Linked DNA regions of Schizosaccharomyces pombe. Changing the gene in region 1 together with any one later gene gives a genetic interaction. Each region holds a gene or a part of one and is shown in the gene's direction. Other genes may lie near its edges. The genes, in order: sap18, SPOM_SPCC306.07C and SPOM_SPCC417.09C.

Region 1 (6,444 bases):
ATACATGTGTATATACATCATTTTATTAAGGACCATTGTTGTTTGAAGGTATTTTCCTCCCCTTTCATTCATCCATATTCTTACTACCTTTTCGCTTTTCTTTTAAATCCAGCTTCCCTATTATGCCTGAAACCGATCCCTTAAAATTACCGTTTTATTATCTTCAAAAAAAAAAATTAAGTAGAAAATTGTTGGCGTTTACATGATTTTTGTGTACGGCTTCTTCCATTAATATAGTTGATGAGACTTTGTCAATTATCATAAAATACATACATCGTTACATATCGGTTTATTGCTGCGAGAGGGAATTTTTAGCACTCATGCATCATTAGCAACAGAGCGTTTGTATTACTTTAAAAGATATCCACTCAGATTTGTGTTTTACAAGTCTAATTCTTCTTCCAATTTATTTTACTGATTTCATTTGTAGGATTCAACCGATCTCACCTTTAAGCCAATCAGGCACACTCTCTTTCATCGTTTTTTTAATATATTTTGTATTCTTTTAAGATCTTCCCAGTGAATGATACGATTTTACTTTTTTAGTGTTCTTAGTTTTATTCTAAGTTAATCATGAAAAACGTCTTCTTTTTAAAAATAATTGAAATGTTCAGTAGTAAGTTGAAAGTAAAATCGTATTTATCTACTACATACGGTTGAGCAGCATAAGTATGATATCGCATTTGCTGCCAACTACCTCACTCACCATCCACATGCCATCTATCATATTATATCCCATTTACTTTGACAAGAGCCGTCCACGTAGGTTTCGTTGTGTACCAAAAGACAAAGCAATTTTAAATCCGTTAGCTAAAAATATTGCCGATGTTGTTCGCGATTTGGGATATAAATGTAAATTGGAACCATTGAAGACACATCCTGCAGATTGGGTCAATCCAGGTCGAGTCGAAATGGTATTACCTGAAAAAATACAAAGTAAGATTGTTATTAGTTTTATTTTCTCGTATGCTAACTGACTGTGAATGTAGAAAAGTATGTCATAAACGAAATCGCCAAAGTACTACTTCTTCGCCCAACTGTTAAGACAGATCCTTTATCGTTACCTATTCAAAATGTTCCCGCACGTCTTCCTGAAAATCCTCCTGCATATCCTAAGGGGGTTTTAGGAAATACGATTTTACCTCTTCATTCACCTGCTTTATCTGGCGGTGGTATCTCTGAAAATATGTTCCAGGAAATGATGCAGGAAATGCAAAAGCAACCTGGATTAGCTGGAGGTATGAATCCAATGGCTGCACTTGCTGGTATGGGAGGCCCTGCTCCTCCTATGCCAACTCCCCAAGCATCTTCAAGCCAGCGAAAACAAAAGTCAATTGAACCAGAATATGATTTGGATTTGGAGTAAACTTATTGTTTAAAACTGAAATATTAGGAATATAGGTGCTTTCGACTATTAGCAAACGCTCATGGATATTAGTAAATTTTTTTTCTCGTCATCTTTTAACAAAAAATTTTTTCCTAATAATGAGTATGGATGTAGAGTTTCATTAAAGATGAGTTCATTTGCACAGCACATTCTGCTTTTTTAAGACTGAGTTCTGGTGGCATACTTAATATTTTTCTGTCTTTTATAAATGTTTCGCCTCTCGTTATATCAGAAGCTGTTTCATTGTAGTTTCTTTCATGCCAATTCAGAGGCGAAATTTTTGAATATTCTATCATTAGTAAACCATGTTTGACATAGTCGTTTTCAAAAGTTTAGTGTGAACTGTATAATTAAATTCTTTTTCGACAACAAATAGCATCTTTTTCGTACTTCAATCCGTATATTCAGGTAAGTTTGATGACTCTCTTTCCTGAAAAGTAATAAATCGCTTTAAAGCTTGCAAACACTAACATGTGAAAGGTTAGACTGGGTACTTTATCTAAAATCTTACCTTTCTCTTCTTTTCGTCTTTAAGTATATTTGAACTTGGATTTGCTTGTAATCGTTGATGTGCACTTCTTTCATGAATACCAACCATAGTAACTCCAATAGGCCAAGGTGCATTTCCAATTGTCAGACGTAAATACATATCATTGGCTTTGACAAATTCGTGTTTTTGGCATCTGTAACAAATTTCAGCTATGCTTTTAAAAATATCGTCGTTTAAAGCTTCATCGACTATCAGTTGTATAAGTACATCAAGATCTTGCTTAGCTTGACGAAATATTTTTAATTGCATCTGACTCTCAGAACTTTCGAAAGAGTTGATGGATTTTGAAGACAAAAAGTTGTCCCAAATGCGGATTCCATGTTGAAGAAAAGCAACTACTTGCTTGGATACTTTGGGTTTGGTGGTAGTAGCATGCTCAAAGTCGATTGTTTCAACTCCTTTAGTAAGGAGTTCATTTTCAATTTCTTCCAGTTTTTTGTATTTTAGCAAACTGTAATATCGTTGAATGGTAGCCTCTTCTGACTCTCCAAACAAACGAATTGGCTCTTTCATCTCACGAAGCTTTGCAATAATTTCGGTCAACGTGAGGTTGTCTTTTGTGATTTCAGGTATTGATAAACGGTCGTTTTCGGAGACAGATAATTTTGTACTTGCAGGTGACGCTTTGACAGCTGGTGAGGGAGTTGTTGTTTCTGTAAGCAACTCTTCATTTCTACTGCTCTCTTTGTTCGCAAGTCGTGAAATGCGTAACTTCTTTTCTTCATATTTAAGACGTTCTTCTTCCAACTTTCTTTTTTTCAACTCTCTTTGCTCATCCTTTTGTTGTTTTTCCTGCAGATATTTCTTTTCCCTTTCCTTCTCCCAATCCCCTCGTCGAAACGCCTTTTTTACCGGAAGTTCGCTCGTTCCTTCTAGTTGGCGACGTTTACGTTCAATTTCTTCCTTTAAAAAATCCATTTGGGAGGTTTAGAAATGGATATTCGTGAAAGTCGCTCTCAATCTCCTGAATTAAGCCAAAGTGAAGATGCTGTTGGTCCGTGCCCTTTTCTCATTTCAGTATATCATCAGTTCCAAACAAAAAATCATGTTTTAGACATCTTTGAAGACGTGATTCCTTCTATTCAAGTTTATGGATGGTAAGTAAATCGTGTTAACGGGAAAATTTCAGTTGTTGTATATGAACTCATACTTCATTGGGACTACGATTAGAAAATCCGTCAAAGGATCATCCATGAACAATTTATATGTCAATTAGATTTATATGTTTCAAATCTTAAACTTTTATGCTAACGATTAATCTTAGGTTGACCATGACCCTTTATGAACTGGGAGTTCTCATTGCAGATCAACTTCTTTTGAATAACGAAGAAACAAGACATTCTGAATGGTCATTGCAAATTAGAACAATTTTTTACGATAAGTATAAAGATCGCCCGATAGCCAGGGATCTAGGTACTGTTTGTTTGCACAATCCAAAGCTATTTCAAGGCAACAAATTATTGAAAAGAACGGGAATAAAATGCGGAGACAAAATTGATGTTACCATAAAAGAGGATAAAATTAGAATAAAAAAGTGATTCCTTGATCGGATGGTACATATATATTTTTTGGAAGTTTAATGGGTTTGAGAACGATATAAAAAACGAAGTGCATGACTGAAGAATTCTATTGTAAGATTTATTTAAAAGCTTATCTTAATTCTATTTATATACAAAATCATAAACCGCTACAACCCTGTTCACTAATCTCATATTGTATGTTTATAAGCTTTGAAGCTTTGAAAAGATTCGAAGCTCTTTAAGTTGAGAAATTTTTTTTTCCCATACTCTTAAAAAAACCTTTGACGCATTAAGAAAAAATTGTTAGTGTACTTACTATTTTCCTTATTGAGTTATGGAGATATACTTTAGCTCGAGGCCTATCAAGGATTCAGGAATCACTTCTGCTAAATTTATATATATGCTGTAGGAAAAGAAAGCGTTTTTTTTATTATAATTCACATTGGAAAGGATTCAACACTTTAAATAGCAGAATCTTTTATCATTTTTTTTGAAGCGATGGATTAAGCGGTTAATGTTTTCCATTGTTTAATAGCGCTAACATTCGGAAATCCGATTGAAACTATTTTTCAAAAAAGAATTATAACTTCTATTATTAACATGGTTGATATTCGCATGATAAATGCACCATTGATCCTCATAATGTAAATATCTATTCCTTTAAAAATGCTGTCAACTCACCTTTGGCTACTTAACTATTTTCAAAATATAAAACTCGTATTTTTTTTTTGCCTAAATACAATTAAAAAACCATTCGCAACCCATACAAACAGAAAACGGATTGTAAACAGTTAAATTATAATTCAGGCAAGTAACAGACTTAAATATTTATAAAGTTTTATTACAGCCCGATGTTATCATTGCTAGAGTAAATGAACATGAATCAAGGTTACTCCGTTTGCAACAGCTGTAAGAAGCTGAATTGTTATTTTCTGAATCGGTGCTACAAGCTAACAGCCCAAAATCACTTATTATTTTTACAACAACTTTAAGCTGATATCTTCGTTTCATAACTAAATCCAAAGTATATTCCTTCAATTATTTAATTTCATTTAAATTTAATATGAGTATTACAATATGTATAACTAAAAAAAATAAGTTTTCAATAATCTCCTTTAGTATAGGGGTAGTACACAAGCCTGTCACGCTTGCAGCCCGGGTTCGAATCCCGGAGGGAGAGTAAATAATTGAAACTTTTTTATTTAGCTAAACAAAGCTTAGTTTTTGAAGCTTTGGCATCATTATGACCGATATTATATTAGTAAAACATAAATCAAAAATTTCCTAATATACCTGGTTCAAGATCAACCAGTTTGGTTCTCTAAAAAATGTACTTCATATAGAAGAGTAAGAAGAATCTACAAATTATGAGTTTTGTGAAAAGTCAAAATTAATGCAATTTAATTTTAGCATTTCTTCAATTTATGTTAAATAAGTAACAGCTTTTTATTTTAGTAAATCTACATGGTAGTCAAAGGATCAGCATCCATAGAAGATACAATCACATTTGCATCTACTCCTTCTTTGTGAAAGGATGAAGCCAGTTTTTGACACATTACATCCTTTAAATAACCTCTTTCTGTATTGGAATGTCCGCCTACATTGTTGTTAGTTGAATAATATATAATACCAAAGAGGTGAACTGAACAGATTTTTCCTTACATAATATAACTGAGATTCCTTTGGCCATCGCAGCTAAAACTTGATGATGAGACAATTCACCAGTAAAGTAAAGATCTGCATCCGTATTCATAACCACAGATCCACCAGAACCTGCACATAAAGAAACCTTGGAAATATGAGAATCTAATCCGTTAGGTGCACACACTTGGACTACAATCAAATAGGTTAACAATATTAACAATAAAGATAAAAAGAAGCTCACCATATTGCAAGCCGGTTAACTCCTTAGCCCTTTGGACCAATTCACGCAAGGTTGTAGGAATCTTCAGTTCGCAAATTCGACCGTAACCTTCTGCCTCAGCCATGACAGAATTTTGCTGAGTTGGGACCACGCTTTTAATGTTGTTTCGTCCTCCAGCTATACCTTGGGCCAGCCAGTCATTTACTCCATCAACAGCAGCATCAACGGCTGTATGAGGCGAGTAAACGTGAATTCCTTCAGCAGCAAGTTTTAAAAGGCTTCTTTGTTGGGGATCCTCCATCGTGATGGCTTTAAGCCCACGAAAGATAATGGGGTCTAGTTGTGAGTAAGTTGTGTAAACAATAAAAGTAGAAGGTTAACCGCCATACGATATGCTACAATAGATGATACAAGTTTATTTGAAATAGCTTCTTCAGCAACTTTCTCAGTCAAGTCAATCGTCAAAAGTACGGAACTTGCATTTGTTCTTGGGAAAGGAGCCTCAAGCAGAAGCCCAGTGTTGTCCCAAGAATCCGCCAATTTTGGATTATAGATGGACTCAACTACTTTTTTTAATTTGGAAGAAATATTTGCCTTAGACATATTTGGGGAAAGATACCATTAAACGCAGTGATTCCTGAACGACCGTAAGACCACGTTTACGACAACACTTAGTCCTAGGATATGCTTTCTCAAATCTGCTAAATTCTGTAGAGCATGAAGGAATTCTAGCAACGCGTAGCAATACACAATTTTAACTATGCAGTCCTGCGTATCGGTAAAAAAATATTGAACTGCATAGCGAGCATTAAAAAACGATTAGGTAGTACTTTATTATTTTACCGATATTTTTTTATCTATCCTAATACAGCTAAAAAAATCTACGCTTGCAAATGCCTCTATATAAGAAATGCTGAGTGTTAATTTCACAATTTGAATATTTACTTTGTTTATTAATTTCCTCTGTTTATAGAAAATATTTTTTCAGTCAAAGGAAGAGGCCATAGGCATTTCTATCCCATTTGTAAAAGAGCATCCAGTATTTAATGTTTGTAGTGCGTATTCTTCGGGACATGAAATAAATTCTTAGGAAAAAAAATCTCGTTTATTAAACGTACAAAAC
Region 2 (6,511 bases), 1.7 Mb from region 1:
GTAAAGATTTAAGTTGATTTGTCTAGAGCTTTTTATTCATCTTCATCTTTTTCTTTTACTGCTACTAACGACACACTTTGCTCGATGTTTTGTAAAATTGATCAATCAAATCTTCGGCTTATTTCAGAGATACAAATATTTGTTTTCCCTTCGCTTTCGACTTTCCGATGCGATTTACCTTTTGCCCAAATATCCCTTGGACTCAATGTGTACTTCCCCACATACATCTTTATATTGAATGGGATCGGATAATGCGCGGGAAAAGTTGTTGTCCGTACCACGAATTGCTACGTTGACTTTATGATATATGCGTGCATGCATACATACGAATAGTGGTTATTTTACGAGTTAAACGATATAGAAGCTTAAATTTAGTGATTGTTTGTGTGCAAATAGAATTTATGGATGACAATGATAAGGCTGTTGTATATGACGCTTCCTCATTTCTTTTTCCCTGTTGATTTTAACTCGAAAGGATTTTAAGTGTCTTCCGTTCGCCAATTGAATTCATCATCATCTTCTTTTTGTTTTTGTTTTTCAGTCTAAACAAATCCTCTAGCTAAGGTATCATTTTCTCGATTGCTGTTTTGCTCATGTTATGTTTTTATGAAAAAAAGCCATGCTGTTCAATAAAAGAGGAAAGGAAGATTTTGGAAGTTTTATAGTTGAATGAGTTCATCTATAAATATATACATATATACATATATATAATATACAAAATATTTTTTCTTTGAGGCTTGAACTATAACTTTACAACTGTCACTTTCATTCTTACATTGTACAGCTGCCTGTATAATCTGTTTCCATTGTAGAGTTGAAATAGTACAGTAGCTTTTCTTTCTGCCAAATATTTACAGTAGTGTAGCAAGAAGCCACTATACGAGTTTTAGGAATTTATTCCGCATTGCTTTGCACTGTCCTGCGGTTTGCTATTTTAGCCAGTCGTCGTTCTTGACAAATCGGCGTTCGATCTTTAATGCCCGTTGAGATCGATTGCGTAATGCTACAACCTTATATTGAGTGTAAGCACTACCCCACAATTCGTATATATACTGTACCAACTCACTGTGTGATTCTCAACTTCAACATATCTTCCAAATAGTCAACGTATAATCAACAAAGCTCGGGACCTTGCCTAAAAGTATCTAAAACGACTTCCAAAAGCGTACCTCGAACTTGTTAAGTTTAAGGTAAGTAAAAGTGAGTATGCAAAACGATCAAGTTACATCCCAATTTGCCAGAAAAAATATTTTAAAAATGAATAAACCGACGTAAATACTACTCTTGAGACCTTTTTATACACACGAAAGTCGATATTTTTTTTGGAAAAAAGTCTTGACATAAACAGCTACGCCAGTCTTTATGTACCGTACCCGTTTCTCCGAGGTCACTAGGTACAGGACTTTCTGAAGGAATATTTTATAAGAGATGCTATACGCATATGCTTTTTTATGCTTAGAATCGGCATGAGGAGTTTGTTTGTAACCAGGATGTCGAGTAGCTTTGCTTTGCTAGTCAGTCCGTATAAACGTTATGGTGTAGGATGCGGCTACTCATGTTTGCATATATATACATATTTTATTTTCAACAAATTTTTCTAACTTTTGATATAGTGTCTAGTATCTTCTGAAGAAAAGAAGAATCAACCTTTCAACTGGACATTTTCTATTGAAATTTCTTTTACCCCCCTCTCTGTCTCACACACACTCTCTCTATTTTTTTTAAATACCCGTGTTCTCTACTTTGCTTTGCGAATTTGTACCTTTCAAAGATGTTTGCCAAAGTAGCTTTCAAAAACTTTACTCCCCTTAAGAGTATCGCTCCCCGTTCTTTTTCTACGACCTCCAGTCGCGCATTCAAAGTAGCCGTTTTGGGTGCTGGAGGAGGTATTGGCCAGCCTTTGTCAATGCTTTTAAAACTGAACGATAAGGTTAGTGAATTGGCCTTGTTCGATATTAGGGGAGCTCCTGGCGTTGCTGCCGATATTGGACATATCAATACCACTTCCAATGTTGTTGGCTATGCTCCTGATGACAAGGGACTTGAAAAAGCCTTGAACGGTGCTGATGTGGTCATTATTCCTGCTGGTGTTCCCCGTAAGCCCGGAATGACTCGTGATGATCTCTTTGCTACTAACGCATCGATTGTGCGGGACCTTGCTTTTGCAGCAGGTGAAACTTGTCCCGAAGCCAAATATCTCGTTGTCACTAACCCCGTAAACTCTACTGTGCCCATCTTTAAAAAGGCTTTAGAACGTGTTGGCGTTCATCAACCCAAACATTTGTTTGGTGTCACCACACTTGACTCTGTTCGTGCCAGCCGTTTCACCTCTCAAGTCACTAATGGCAAGGCAGAACTTCTTCATATTCCTGTTGTTGGCGGTCATTCCGGTGCGACCATCGTACCTTTGTTGTCCCAAGGCGGTGTTGAATTGACTGGTGAAAAGCGTGACGCACTTATTCACCGTATCCAATTTGGTGGTGATGAGGTTGTAAAGGCGAAGGCTGGTGCTGGAAGTGCGACCTTGTCTATGGCCTATGCCGGTGCTCGTATGGCCTCCTCCGTACTCCGTGCTTTGGCTGGTGAGTCTGGCGTTGAGGAATGCACCTTTGTGGAGTCCCCTCTGTACAAGGATCAAGGAATTGATTTCTTTGCCTCTCGTGTAACTTTGGGTAAGGATGGGGTTGACACCATTCACCCTGTTGGTAAAATCAATGATTATGAGGAGAGCCTTCTTAAGGTAGCTTTGGGTGAGCTGAAAAAGAGCATTACGAAGGGTGAGCAATTTGTAGCATAATCTTTTATGAATAACAGAAATGATATGATATTCTTTATGAATGTTTGTTTTCTCTTGCTTCTTTCGTGTGTGTTATTTCTTTTACTTTAGTCAAAAAGTAATCTGTATACTGCATTCATAGTGTAGGTATGAATGTAAAAATTATGTTACAAGGTTTCCTTTTATATGTGCGGTTGTATAGAAATTTCATATCTATTGAATTCCGTTTTTACAGTCGAATAGATGAGGGTTTTCAATATGCGGAGTTTTGCGAAAAGCGATGATTCAAATTTACAATAACCACTAAAAGAAAATTGTTAAACAAGTAATAGATAATAAGTTTTCCATTCATTCGACATTTGCGGTTCTTGAGTTGTTGGCCTTATTTATCTAGTATCGTTTCAAAGCCATCAATTTAATAAGGCCATGGCATATAAGACAGAACAATTGTTCTTTGATTAATTCTTTACAAACTAAACTTTGATAATGATATGCTACAGAACTTTCAATAGCATTGTAATATTAACTTCTCTGACCAACCCAAGTTGAACTTGCAAAAAGCCATCCATTACTTACATCTTAATAGAAATGGCGATTACAAGTGAAAAAAAGAAAAATTTAAAGTCATTGGATAAAATTGACATAAAATTAGTAAGAAATTTTTTTTTTAATTTCAAATTATCGTGCAATTTACTTACAAATAATCAATAGCTAGAGAAAACAATTAGAGCCCTGCTGCAGCACATTCGATCCTCTGATAAACCTATTGAAAAAGAAAAGGTTTATATTCAGGTTAATACATTCCAACCCGTTGAGAAAGAGTCGCTTAGAAGACCATCAAAAGTGTAAGTGAGCATTAATGATGAATTAAGTTTCCTGAAGTAATAAGATCAACAATAAAATTTTTGTTCTTATAATTACTTAAAACCTTAAGCTTCTACTGCTTGTGCAGAAATAAAGAGGTATTACGGTTTTGTTGATTTGCTAATAAATCAAGCTTGTTGTAACATTCATAGAATCGATGCGTGTTCTTCATTAAAATTATAAGGTACTAACTATTTTACAGATTCCTTCCGCACAGGATAATGCATGTAACAGATGCTTGTTTGATTGTGAAAGATTCACAGCAGACATATCAAGATCTGGTGGAGCAACAAGGGCTTGACGAAGTCATTACAAAAGTACTTAGCATCCCGAGATTGAAATTAAAGTATAAAACAATCCGAGAAAAATGTGAGCTACGAGACTCTCACAACCTTTTTTTGGTTGATGATCGTGTATTAAAATACATCCCCCTATTGATGGGGAAAGTTTTTGAACAGAAAAAAATTAAGCCATTTCCTATTTCTGTTTTACAAAAGAAAGAGACTTTGCGTAATCAAGTTGCTCGTTGTCTTCATTCTACTTATCTTAAGTTATCTGCCGGCACTAGTCATACCATTCTCTGTGGTTTGGCCACTCAAACCAATGAACAATTGTTGGAGAATATTACGACTGTATTGAAGTGTCTGCTAACTAATTTCATTCCGAAAGGGTGGTCTGCAATTGATAATGTTGCGATTAAAACAGCTGACAGTGCCTCTCTGCCAATTTGGACTAGTGACACCAATCTTGCTGCTCATAAAAGACACATTGTGCACATTCAAGATGCAAGACCTCTTAAGAAAAGTGAACTGCGTGCTCAAAAACGGGGTTCTTCTGGAGAAGGCAAAGGGAATAAGTGAAACTGACTTTCGCTTTCCTAAATTGAAAAAAAAAAGTATTTTAAAATAATTACCATTTTTCTACTAAGGCTAGAAGAAAGAGTTTTGACAATGTATTTATAAACACCATTTGACTTTGCCTGTTTCAAATTTCTGATACATTTCTTTCCTTCGATGTTAATTAGTTATGTGAAAAAGCTTTGAGTGGCTGAAAGCAAAAGGGATTTACAAGGGCACGTCTTTTATAAACGGGTATTTTGGACTGAGTAATAAATAAGGGTTTTTGTGTATAACAAGTGTCATGGACTATTGTCATGATTTTGGAACAAAATCTACACCGTCTTGTGTTTTGTAGTATTATTTTTTTCTCGTAAATAACATGTTATATTTACATAATCTATCTGCTTATATGTAGCTTGTTCATTCAGAAGGATTTTAGTACCTTTAGATACTGAAAGTAGTATATAGAGCTATTCTCTACCACTCCAACGCTCAAGCAATTGACAACATCCAAACTTGTCCAAAGTAAAGAAAATTTAGTGTCAAAATGTTTTCTTGGAGTATTTTATTTATAGTTTGCTTTTCTTTAGTATCAGCATTTAAAGATACTTCGCCGATTTTCTTATTTTCTACGAACTCGTATGTCCTGCATCCATCGATGGCATTATACTGTGTAAATTATTTAATCTAACTAAAAACAGCAAACTCCCCAAATCATCCGATGATTCTTCAATATCCACTTGCCCTATGATGTTTTTTGACGCCGCAATTGAGGCACTTTCGACATGCAATACAGCTACCTTAATTATACATCAACCAGGCCTTGAGGTTAATGATTTTCAGTTGGGAGCTTTTAAACATTTAAAGCGTGTTTCTTTGCAATCACCCTATAGCTTACTTCTTCCTTATTCCAAGGAGTCTTTGGACTCACAAGAGTTGGTGCATTCGGCAAAGCAAAACTGCGACGTTGAGGTAGTTTACTTGGGTGGATCCTTTAATGCTTTTCCTCCTCTTCAAAATGATCGCATAACTGTTGTTTACATGAATGAACTGTCAAATGAAAGTTATCATAGAAGTGCACAATTAATGGAATTGGATGAAATGTTCTACAACTTACAATCTACCTTGGAACAAGATGCTCAGTGGAATGTAATTATAGCCTCTTCTCCTTTGAATAACTCAGATTTTGAAGGATTTAAGGTTGATGCTAACGAAGAAGAGGCCAATGCTGAATTTGTAATTCAAACGCTAGGTGGTCTCAACTCAGGGAAGAGTGCTCTTCAACACGGCCAATTGGCTTCTTTACCTGATCAAAATGAGGGATCACAAACCACGCTTGCTATGCACCAAACAAGGAAGCACCCTGTCACCGACAATGGTGCGACGGGACTGTTTACCGAATATCAATTTTTTACTCCTGGTTTGTACATGGGTTATTTGGCATTGGCTGTATTGGTTCCAACTTTGTTTATTTCTTGCCGTTTACTTTCCTCTATTCAAATCAGCTATCACGCTTTTGATAGTCCTCGACGCAAACAGTTATAAACCTCTTCTTAAGGTGAATAAGCTGAAGAAGTTTCAATTTATTTCTTTCTTTCATAATTGATACATCTCACACTTAATTTAGAAGAAAATTATTGTCATAAATGGTTCTTGATAAGTATAGTTTGGTGACATTTTTACCTTTCAGCGCAATTCCTTAGGTGTCCAAATGGTTAGAATGATCTTTGTTTTTTAATATATTGAAGTCTATTAAATAGTTTTTTGGACTGAAGAATTTATTTCTTGTGATGAGACAAACTTTATAACCATAATATTGTTTTTTCTTTATGATGATTCTCTACGGAAGGTGAAAGTTGTTGGCATCATGTAGTCAGCATAACTTTGTTTTGCTTTTTGTATTCTATTCAATTAATATTTTTGTTTTGCGGTTTTAAAAATAGTAGATGAATTTGCTATACTTTGAATAAACTAGAGAAACCACTTTAGGCATACAGACTCAATTATGAAATTTCCTTAATTATTTAAAGCA
Region 3 (8,372 bases), 450 kb from region 1:
TATTAGAATATAAATTTTATATTATTGGATTGGCAAATTATATTCTATTTTTTTGCTAATTTAAACAAAAAAAAAAAAGAGATTTAGAATTTTTTTTGAGGCGATGAATCACTCATTTTTCTTGCAATGTTGACTAACTACTATTTAGGTTATATGAAATTTTGATTTTGTTATGATGAAATGGAATGGTTAAGGATTTCCACAACACAAAATAAATGTAAATGATTACTTTATATGAGAAATATTCCATCATAGGCATTTCAGTTAAATGAATTGGAGCTTAAAACTGAGCAGACGAAAGTGACAAGTTTATACTGCCCTATTTGAAGATGTTGAAATGTGACAATAGTTTATTAAAACTTTCAAATCAGGCTTTTAAGTCGCTATGAAGCTCAAACTTTGTTTGAGGTTATTCTTAACAGCAATTTGTCTATGATCTGATTATTTGACATTTGCATTCTTCTAGTTTTCTTTGTTGGTTCGTAGATATTTACAATTGATGTTTAGGTTGATTAATATATGTATAGAAGGCTAAATTTATCTTAAATATTGTGAGTTTCCGAGAAAAAGTCTCGGGGACTTTTGCTACTTGGAAATCTACAGTATTCAGTAACGTTCGTAAGACGAGTATATTATTAAAGTCGTAATAAGAAAATAATAACAAAAATTAATAATAAAGCTAAACATACAAGCACAATATGTCAATCGACGACATCAAGTTAAACAAGAAACCATGGACAAGGAAAATCAAAATAATTAAAAGGAATAGTGTTCCTAAAAACAGAAACTTTCTTTCTCTTAAAAGTGTATTCCAGCTAAGAAAGAAATATTTCGGAATATACGACTAAAACCTGCTTTAATAACTCGAATGAAAAGTTATTACGGTAGTTTCCGTACACTCATTAGTAGTATACAATAATTAGAAAGCAATGACCTGCAAAGTGTACAAATCATAAAGTGTATCTGAAATCAAGATTCTCAAAATCTGTAAGATCTTCAAATTCAGCATTGGGACGATGCTCAATCTTTCCCTCCGCAGCCAATTGATCCCTACGCTTGTTTTCTCTCCAATTAACATAGTAAAGAGCAGGAAATGTGACTAAAGTTGCTGCATAACAACCGACCATGGTGTTCTTAGCAGGCATATATTCAGGAGCGTCAGCAGCTTTGAAAGTTTGAGGGCCGATTAAATTTCCCACACAGTATCCGATAAGATAGATAACACCAACAGTGACTTTCTTTGTATAACCAGAGGCGTTGGAAGAAATGATGGCGAACATGACAATCATGGCACCTGGAGAAACCATCAATAAATAGTAACCTGCAAGCTGTGCACGAGGAGGACCAGCGAAAGAAAGCAAACAGGATCCAATCAAGGCAATACATGTGGTGATGGTAGCCAAAACCATACGTTTATGAATGAACAAACTCAAAAACCCAAAGGCGATCAATCCACCAAATTCACAAGCGCCGGCAGGAAGACCCATAAGCAAGGTTTGAAGGGTATCATAACCCATGGTACCTTTAATTAAAAGAGAGGAAAATGTACCGATACCACCATTGGGAATATTCAAAAGAACGGATGAGACAAACATAATCCAAGTACGAATATCAAGCATGGTTTCCTTAAACTGATACAATTTAAAGTGATTATTACCAACACCTTGCTTGTTGGCACGAAGACGCTTGACAACCAACTTACGATCTTCTTCAGTGAGAAACCAGGCTTTGAAAGGATTGTCGGGAACGACGGCAAGAATGACAAATCCCAAGAAAATGGCGAGGACACCGCAAATAATGAAAATAAGCTTCCAACCTCTCATGGGAAGACTGGTCCTCTTGGCCAAACCATAAGCCATGCAGCTACCAAGGATCTGACCCAAACCATTAAAAGCGACCCATACGGAAGTACGAAGTTGTTGTTCACTGCGCTTGTACCATTGAGCAGTGAGAAGAATGAAACCAGGACTGGCGGCAGATTCCATCATACCGAGAAGCACACGAAGAGCGATAAAGCCAGGATAGTTGGCAACTGAGGTCATGCAAAGCAAGAAACCCCAAATGACTAAGAAAACACACAAGGTCTTGGATAAAGGAAAGCGCTGAAGAAGAAGAGATGCAGGGAATTCGAAGACAAGGTAACCCAAGTAGAAAGCAGTACCTGACCAACTATACATTTGACCTTCCATCTTCAAGTCTTCTTTGAGACCCATGATAACGGCATAGGAATTTGAAGTTTTGTCCAAAAATTGGATGCAGTATACTAGACACATGACGGGGAAGATTGTGCAATCGATTTTGCGTACCAATCTACGCTCCGTTTCTGGATCGATCTCATCGTAGTCGACATCAAGGGCGTAATTGAAAGCAGCATCCACGCCTTTTGGCGAGAGATCGCCAACGTCGACATCGAGAATTTCCTTATTTTGGACACTCTCGGGATCTTTCAGCTTTTCGTCTATACTGATGCTTGACATTTTCTCGCTAGGCGCTTAAATATCTAAGCGGGATTATGGTAGTATGTCTAAAAGTAGTAGAGAAAGGAAAGGGAAAAAAGAAAAAAGAATTAAAATTAGAGGAGGGAAAAGAGAATGAAATTTAGTAAAAGCTATTTTCGCCAACACTTATAATGAGTGTAGTCGGGTTGTTTTTCTTATTGAGGATCGATATACTAATGAAATTGGCTTGTAGCATTGCAAGGTGATCCCTTCCTTTTAAACCAGGCAGACAAGCTCTTGACTTGGTTATCTGGCATCCACCCTCCGGTTGGTGTACCCGGTTTGTAATCTCGAGTATGTTCACTGCATCGCACATTTTCCTACATACCAAAAATTCTACTGTTGCACCTATCATTAAACATTGCAATACCTACCAACTCTACCTGGTTTTAGCACTAAATACCCGATATCGTGCTACCCCATTGTTCCTCCAAAGATCTTCTGAGCCCGGAGATATAGGAGAACTTGATAATGTTAGGTAAATTGGCAAAGTTGATGCGTCAGTCTCCTATCTATTCGTCAAGTTTCATCGTTTAAACAAACATCCAAGATCGGATATCAGGGGCGTAAAAACCGTAAATACTTGATAAAATAAATAAATGATGGAATGAAACGCTTCCTAAGCAGTCGAGCCAACATTGGGTCTTGCATTTCTAACTTTGCAGGAATTTCTTGATGAGAAATGGGGAAATCAAGACGCATATCATTCATACGTTGATTTTTCCTCATCCCAACGCTAACATCGAGCTCCCAACTCATTTTTTAAATTTTTCGTCCAAGCACTCATAGCGCAGCTTATCACCACTTACCACATATACTAGTGTAAAACAGTACTGATCGCTCGCCATGCTTAGATATGATTCCACCAAGATAGCAATAGATGTCTAAGTCGGCTATAGCCACCGGAAATATAATACACTAAGACACTGGGTATACCAAGAAGAAATGATAGTGTCATCCATCAAGGTCATTATTTCGGATTTAGAAAGGCTAGTGATATTTCTCTAAAAATTGCACAGTGATTGTGGAAATGCGGTGGAAGCCGTGGGGCTATCAGGATAGGATTGCTAGGCATGCCGCCATTTCCAAGATAATGGGCGAGTACGCAAACGTGCAAACCACTGTTAACGGATGGGCCCCGAGATCTCCGAGAGCGAGGAGAACTGGAGCTGGAGTTGCTGGAGTGAATTCCATACACAAAAATCGAGGGTTTTCTGTTTGGATAAATAGCTTAGAATAGTAAATGCTTGAGTTCCGCTGCATTCTCACTGCATGCATGCTAGGATGCAGCCCCATGAGGATAGGAGTCGTAGTGGCATGAGTAGAAGCGAAGCTATGGAGTTGGAGGATCAACTAGAGGAAGAAGAAAGGGGTGGTAATGTTGTTGTTGGCAGCAGCAGCGCGAACGCGAACGCGAGCACAGCAGAAACTGGGAAGAAGAGCGCTGGAGGCTCAAAACCGAAAAGAAGAAGAGGCGAGCGAATTCCACCTTCAAAAAGGATTCGAAAAGCTATTGCGTATGTAAATAAATATGCATCTGGTTGTTTTGGTCGAGTTGAAAGACGTTTAGTTTGTACGCGTTCGATCAGCCGCCATTCCAACCAAAAGTTGCTTGATTTGTTTGTTATTACTATATTTATTGTTTTCGTATTATTTAGTTGATCTATTGAATTATGTAGTTGTTTCTTTATTTCCTTACTTTACAATTTTTTTTTGGTTTTATTTTTTCTACTTTTTTTTTGTCTATTCATTCAAATGCTAATATTAGTTGTGTGGAATGCAAAAAGCATAAAATCAAATGCGTCGGTAACTTTCCCTGTGGCAGATGTCTTAAAAAAGGATTAGAATGCGTAATAGAAACTCCTCCTAGATTGCTTATGAATAAAGACGAAATTTCTCTCAATCTTCAGAGACTCAGTCATATGGAGACCATCCTTTCTAAACTCATGCCAAGTATGAGCTTGGATTTGCCCAGCTTGGAAGCAAAGATTGCGGAGCTTAGTGAAAGCCTTCAAACCTATCCTGATAAAGTACTTACCGACATCGAACTTGGAAGCTATCAACAAGTGACTTTGAATGAGACACAGACATATTACGAAGATGCCGGCTCTAACGAAAGCTTCGTCGCTCGCGTGCACGAGATCATTTGCCAGGGCAGGGAATTTCAGGTGCAGCATAAACTCACTAACGTATGTATTGATGGATTCATCTACTTCATTTCATACCCTTGCTATGTTGTGGGGCATCATCGATTTTACTGTTCTTTACTAACCCGTTTTTCTCAATAGAAAGGAAATAAAACATTTGAAGATATTTTAGATCCCGCCGATAATACTGTCGCCTCTTTAATCCATGCATTACCCCCAAAGGATATCACTTTTTATTTACTTATGACATTTTGGCAATTTTCTAGTGACAACAACCATTTTTATTATAATACCAAGCTGTTTGCTGCAAAAGTCCATCATCTTTTCGATGATCCAACTTCCTTTCAATCAAAAGATGGTGGTTTTGTGTGTATGCTTCTTCTGAGCATGGCCATGGGCAGTCTATTCTCCTACATTCGCCATCCAGAGTTCCTTTCTGATGAAAATCACGATCGTTGGACTTATCCTGGCTCTCAGTTTTACCAAAACGCCAAACTTCTTTTTCCCAAAGTCATCAGTGAATCGTCGTTGGAAACAGTACAGTCTTTCTTCCTAGCCGGTATGTATTTGTCTCCAACATTGGCACACGAAGTTGTATACATGTACTTTGGTATAGCTATGAGAGCTGCTGTTGCCAATGGTATGCACAAAAAGTCTGCGAATGCTCAATTTTCCGGAGATGTTGCTGAACTTCGTAAACGGCTTTTCTGGAGTGTATATTGCATGGAAAGGTAAGGCTGTTGAAAACTTCCCAAGATTCATGTCTGGGAAGAAGAAGAGAATTTTTTATTATTCCTCCTCATTATTTTATGCTAACGTTTAACTTTTAGAAAAATAGGTATTTCTCTGGGCAGGCCCGAGAGTCTTGTGCGTTCCGAAATTGATATTCATTTTCCAGAATACCGTGAAAGTTTAGATTCGCAAAACTTCATTGCCAGCTTCCGGACCTTCACCTTAGCTATTAAAATTTCCCTTCTAACTAATAAAGTCTATGACATGTGGTATTCCTCGCTACATGGAAAGGCGAACTTAAAAGCAGCTACCATTAAAGAGATTGTAAACGAAATTGAGGCATGGCGCCAACAACTGTCTCCTGATCTAGAAATACAAAACATTGGCCCAGATAGCAGGTCTTACAGAGGTATCGTTCATTTGCATCTAGCTTATCATATTGTTCGAATTGCCATGGGCCGACCGTTCTTACTACACCGGCTTCGTGAAAGAACGATGAATAGTAAGACGGATGAGGGAGCTAGGCTTCTTACTGATAAGTTAATTTCATACTGCTATTCATCCGCTTTGCACATTGTCGACCTCCTTGTACTACTAAGAATGCACAAATTTCTATCTGTCTATTCATTTATGGATTACCATTCATGTCATGCCGCCTCTTTTATCATTCTGGTGCATCTTCTAATCAACCCGTCTGAACAAACGATCGAACAACTGAATACGGCTATTGACATTTTGAATTTTGTTACCGACAGATTTCCACTTTTAAAAGGAAGTACGGATGTCATAACTAACTTGCGGGCATTTGCTGAACAAAGCGAGGTATATCAATCAAGGCTTAATGCTACCGAACCAGCTTATTCGACGCAGGTGCCTTTCTTCCCTAGAGATGCTGATTATCATAATCAAATCAACCTACAAAATCTTTGGAATGATGAAAATATCAATGCCTCACTAGAGGCACTTTTCAATGATGCGAAGGGTTTTGGCTTTTTACTCCCCGCTGATAACTTCATTTTCCCTAGTGACGATGGAGACATGTAATGATGGCTTTCTTTCGAAACTACTCAAACCTGAATTTTAAAAAGGTCGATATTTTAATTTACCCTTATTCTTTTCTCCTAGTTGGTCTACCTTACTGAACATATTTACTATTAAAGCAAATGAAACTGAAAGTTAACCCTTTTTCCCATGGTCACATTGCATCCTTTTTTTATATGATCAAATCATGCTGATTTGACCAAATCCTTTTCCAAAAAAAAAAAAACAAAAGATAAAAAAAATAGGCAGTTGCATTTTTTAATGAATACATAACGTGCATAACTGTTAACACAATTTTACTTCTAACTTTATTGTATCTTTCCTTTTGTCTTATCTAGATTAAACCCGTTTTAATGGTTCTCAATTAGAAGCAATTGTTTTAGCTTGGTTTCTAATTACCCTCTTAAAGGAATTAAAGGCTTCAATTGACGAGTGTTGAATTATTGAACAGAAAACTGTACATACACATATACAGTTGCGATTCGCTGAGTATGATAGAAATTTTCGTTATTTCATTTTATGGATATTAGCAATTCAATATTTTAAGTATCATAAACAAGCTGAATTGACAATCATTTTAACGTATAGTCCTTTTGACTTTCACAGTCTCATATAAGTTTCCTTGTGTAAACGATAACTATGGAAATACTGGATAGCGTCTGCAATCAAGAATGAAAAATAATAACTAGAAATGAATTCAACTAACTGATTAAAAAAAAGGAGCCTACAGCACCCCGGATTCCCATGTTGTCTCCAACCATAGTACTAACGAGGCCCTCAGACGCTTAACTGCAGTGATCGGACGGGAACTGGTGTTTTCACCTAGGTATGGCCGTAGACGTTCGATAATGTAATAAATGATTTTTATAGCGTTCATTAGGGGAATGGATAAAGGTTCTTTAAATTTATTTCAGCCAATATTCCCTTAAAGAGTTTCTAGTTGGACGATTTAACTAATTGATTGACTCAAAATTTAACAATTATTATAACGCTTTTGTATATTTCTCTTCAACTTTTCTACCAAAGAAAAGGCTTCTCTTGATGACTAAGTATTCGACTGTCAAGTTTTGTCAATTTAGTCTCAAATATTTCGGTCATGGAATCATGCTTCCTCAGAGCTTAAAATAGGATAAACGAATTCGGTTTAGAGAGTTTTTTTGCATACCTATGTTACCATTCAAAATCGCAAGATGGAGTTTGGTGCACATATTTAAACGCAACTTTAGAAGCGAATAAGGCCCCTTTGAAAAACCGGTGCCCATGCCATATAATGCTTTTGAGTTTGAGCGATACAGATGCTGCAGTTGCAGAACCTCGAATTAAGGCATAGCTTGAAATAGCTCTCATGATTTGCTAGACTATTATGTGGAAAACACAACAGATATTCAATTGATTCTACATTTGGCAAATATTCGTTGCAATGAATGGGAATGAATACCTCGCCCATAGTCCTCAATGTTCAGTGTAAAGCATCAGCTAAGTGAGAAATCTGCAATAGTCGCAGTAGTTGCAATGTCGATAGTAACATAAAAATGCTATACTTTTGGGATAAAAATTTCTCAGTCACGATGCTTGAGAAACTGCATTGATCGATATTCAATATTTGCAAGTTCTGATTCTTGTTACAACTTTAGGATATCATTTTTATGCGAATTTCCTAAAAAGGGATTTTTTTTCCTTGACCAGTTTACTCATTGATTTATTTCAACAACCTTCCAAAGAACTCCAATGCTAAAAGTATCACTTGTCCTCACACTTCTGAACTATTTACTCTTAAGATTAGATGAGAAACTCACAATTCAAGCTGAAGCGAGCTCTGCAAGTCATTAAAATTATTCAATTCCAACAACTAAGCAAAAAATTATTTAAAGTCAAATAAACAAATGAAAAAAATAGTTGCGCGGCCAGGTTTCGATCCTGGGACCTACGGGTTATGAGCCCGTCGGAGTTCCAC

The links.
Region 2: mutations in sap18 (region 1) and SPOM_SPCC306.07C together harm fitness less than expected from each alone (positive genetic interaction), as found in Schizosaccharomyces pombe (one large-scale study listed by BioGRID).
Region 3: mutations in sap18 (region 1) and SPOM_SPCC417.09C together harm fitness more than expected from each alone (negative genetic interaction), as found in Schizosaccharomyces pombe (one large-scale study listed by BioGRID).

What each region holds. Positions count from the first base shown.
Region 1 is NC_003421.2:2,137,601-2,144,044, reverse strand, and holds sap18 (SAP128 family histone deacetylase complex subunit), read left to right. Parts: upstream 1-2,855; 5' UTR 2,856-2,870; coding exon 2,871-3,034; intron 3,035-3,201; coding exon 3,202-3,475; 3' UTR 3,476-4,162; downstream 4,163-6,444. Other genes in the region: putative signal recognition particle subunit Sec65, read left to right, coding at 714-936, 990-1,366; U5 snRNP-associated protein Prp18, read right to left, coding at 1,779-1,853, 1,899-2,855; SPOM_SPCC126.12 (NGG1 interacting factor 3 family protein), read right to left, coding at 4,918-5,054, 5,120-5,290, 5,343-5,657, 5,711-5,924.
Region 2 is NC_003421.2:417,989-424,499, reverse strand, and holds SPOM_SPCC306.07C (U3 snoRNP-associated Cic1/Utp30 family protein), read left to right. Parts: upstream 1-3,329; 5' UTR 3,330-3,364; coding exon 3,365-3,427; intron 3,428-3,487; coding exon 3,488-3,621; intron 3,622-3,800; exon of another isoform or gene 3,801-3,842; coding exon 3,843-4,500; 3' UTR 4,501-4,871; downstream 4,872-6,511. Other genes in the region: mdh1 (malate dehydrogenase), read left to right, coding at 1,772-2,797; family protein BIG1, read left to right, coding at 5,027-5,118, 5,181-6,024. UniProt on the Schizosaccharomyces pombe protein: Involved in rRNA-processing and ribosome biosynthesis.
Region 3 is NC_003421.2:1,689,831-1,698,202, reverse strand, and holds SPOM_SPCC417.09C (transcription factor), read left to right. Parts: upstream 1-3,618; 5' UTR 3,619-3,770; coding exon 3,771-4,117; intron 4,118-4,266; coding exon 4,267-4,687; exon of another isoform or gene 4,688-4,786; coding exon 4,787-5,376; intron 5,377-5,475; coding exon 5,476-6,421; 3' UTR 6,422-6,984; downstream 6,985-8,372. Other genes in the region: SPOM_SPCC417.11C (glutamate-1-semialdehyde 2,1-aminomutase aminotransferase), read left to right, coding at 1-13; dipeptide transmembrane transporter Dal51, read right to left, coding at 951-2,477.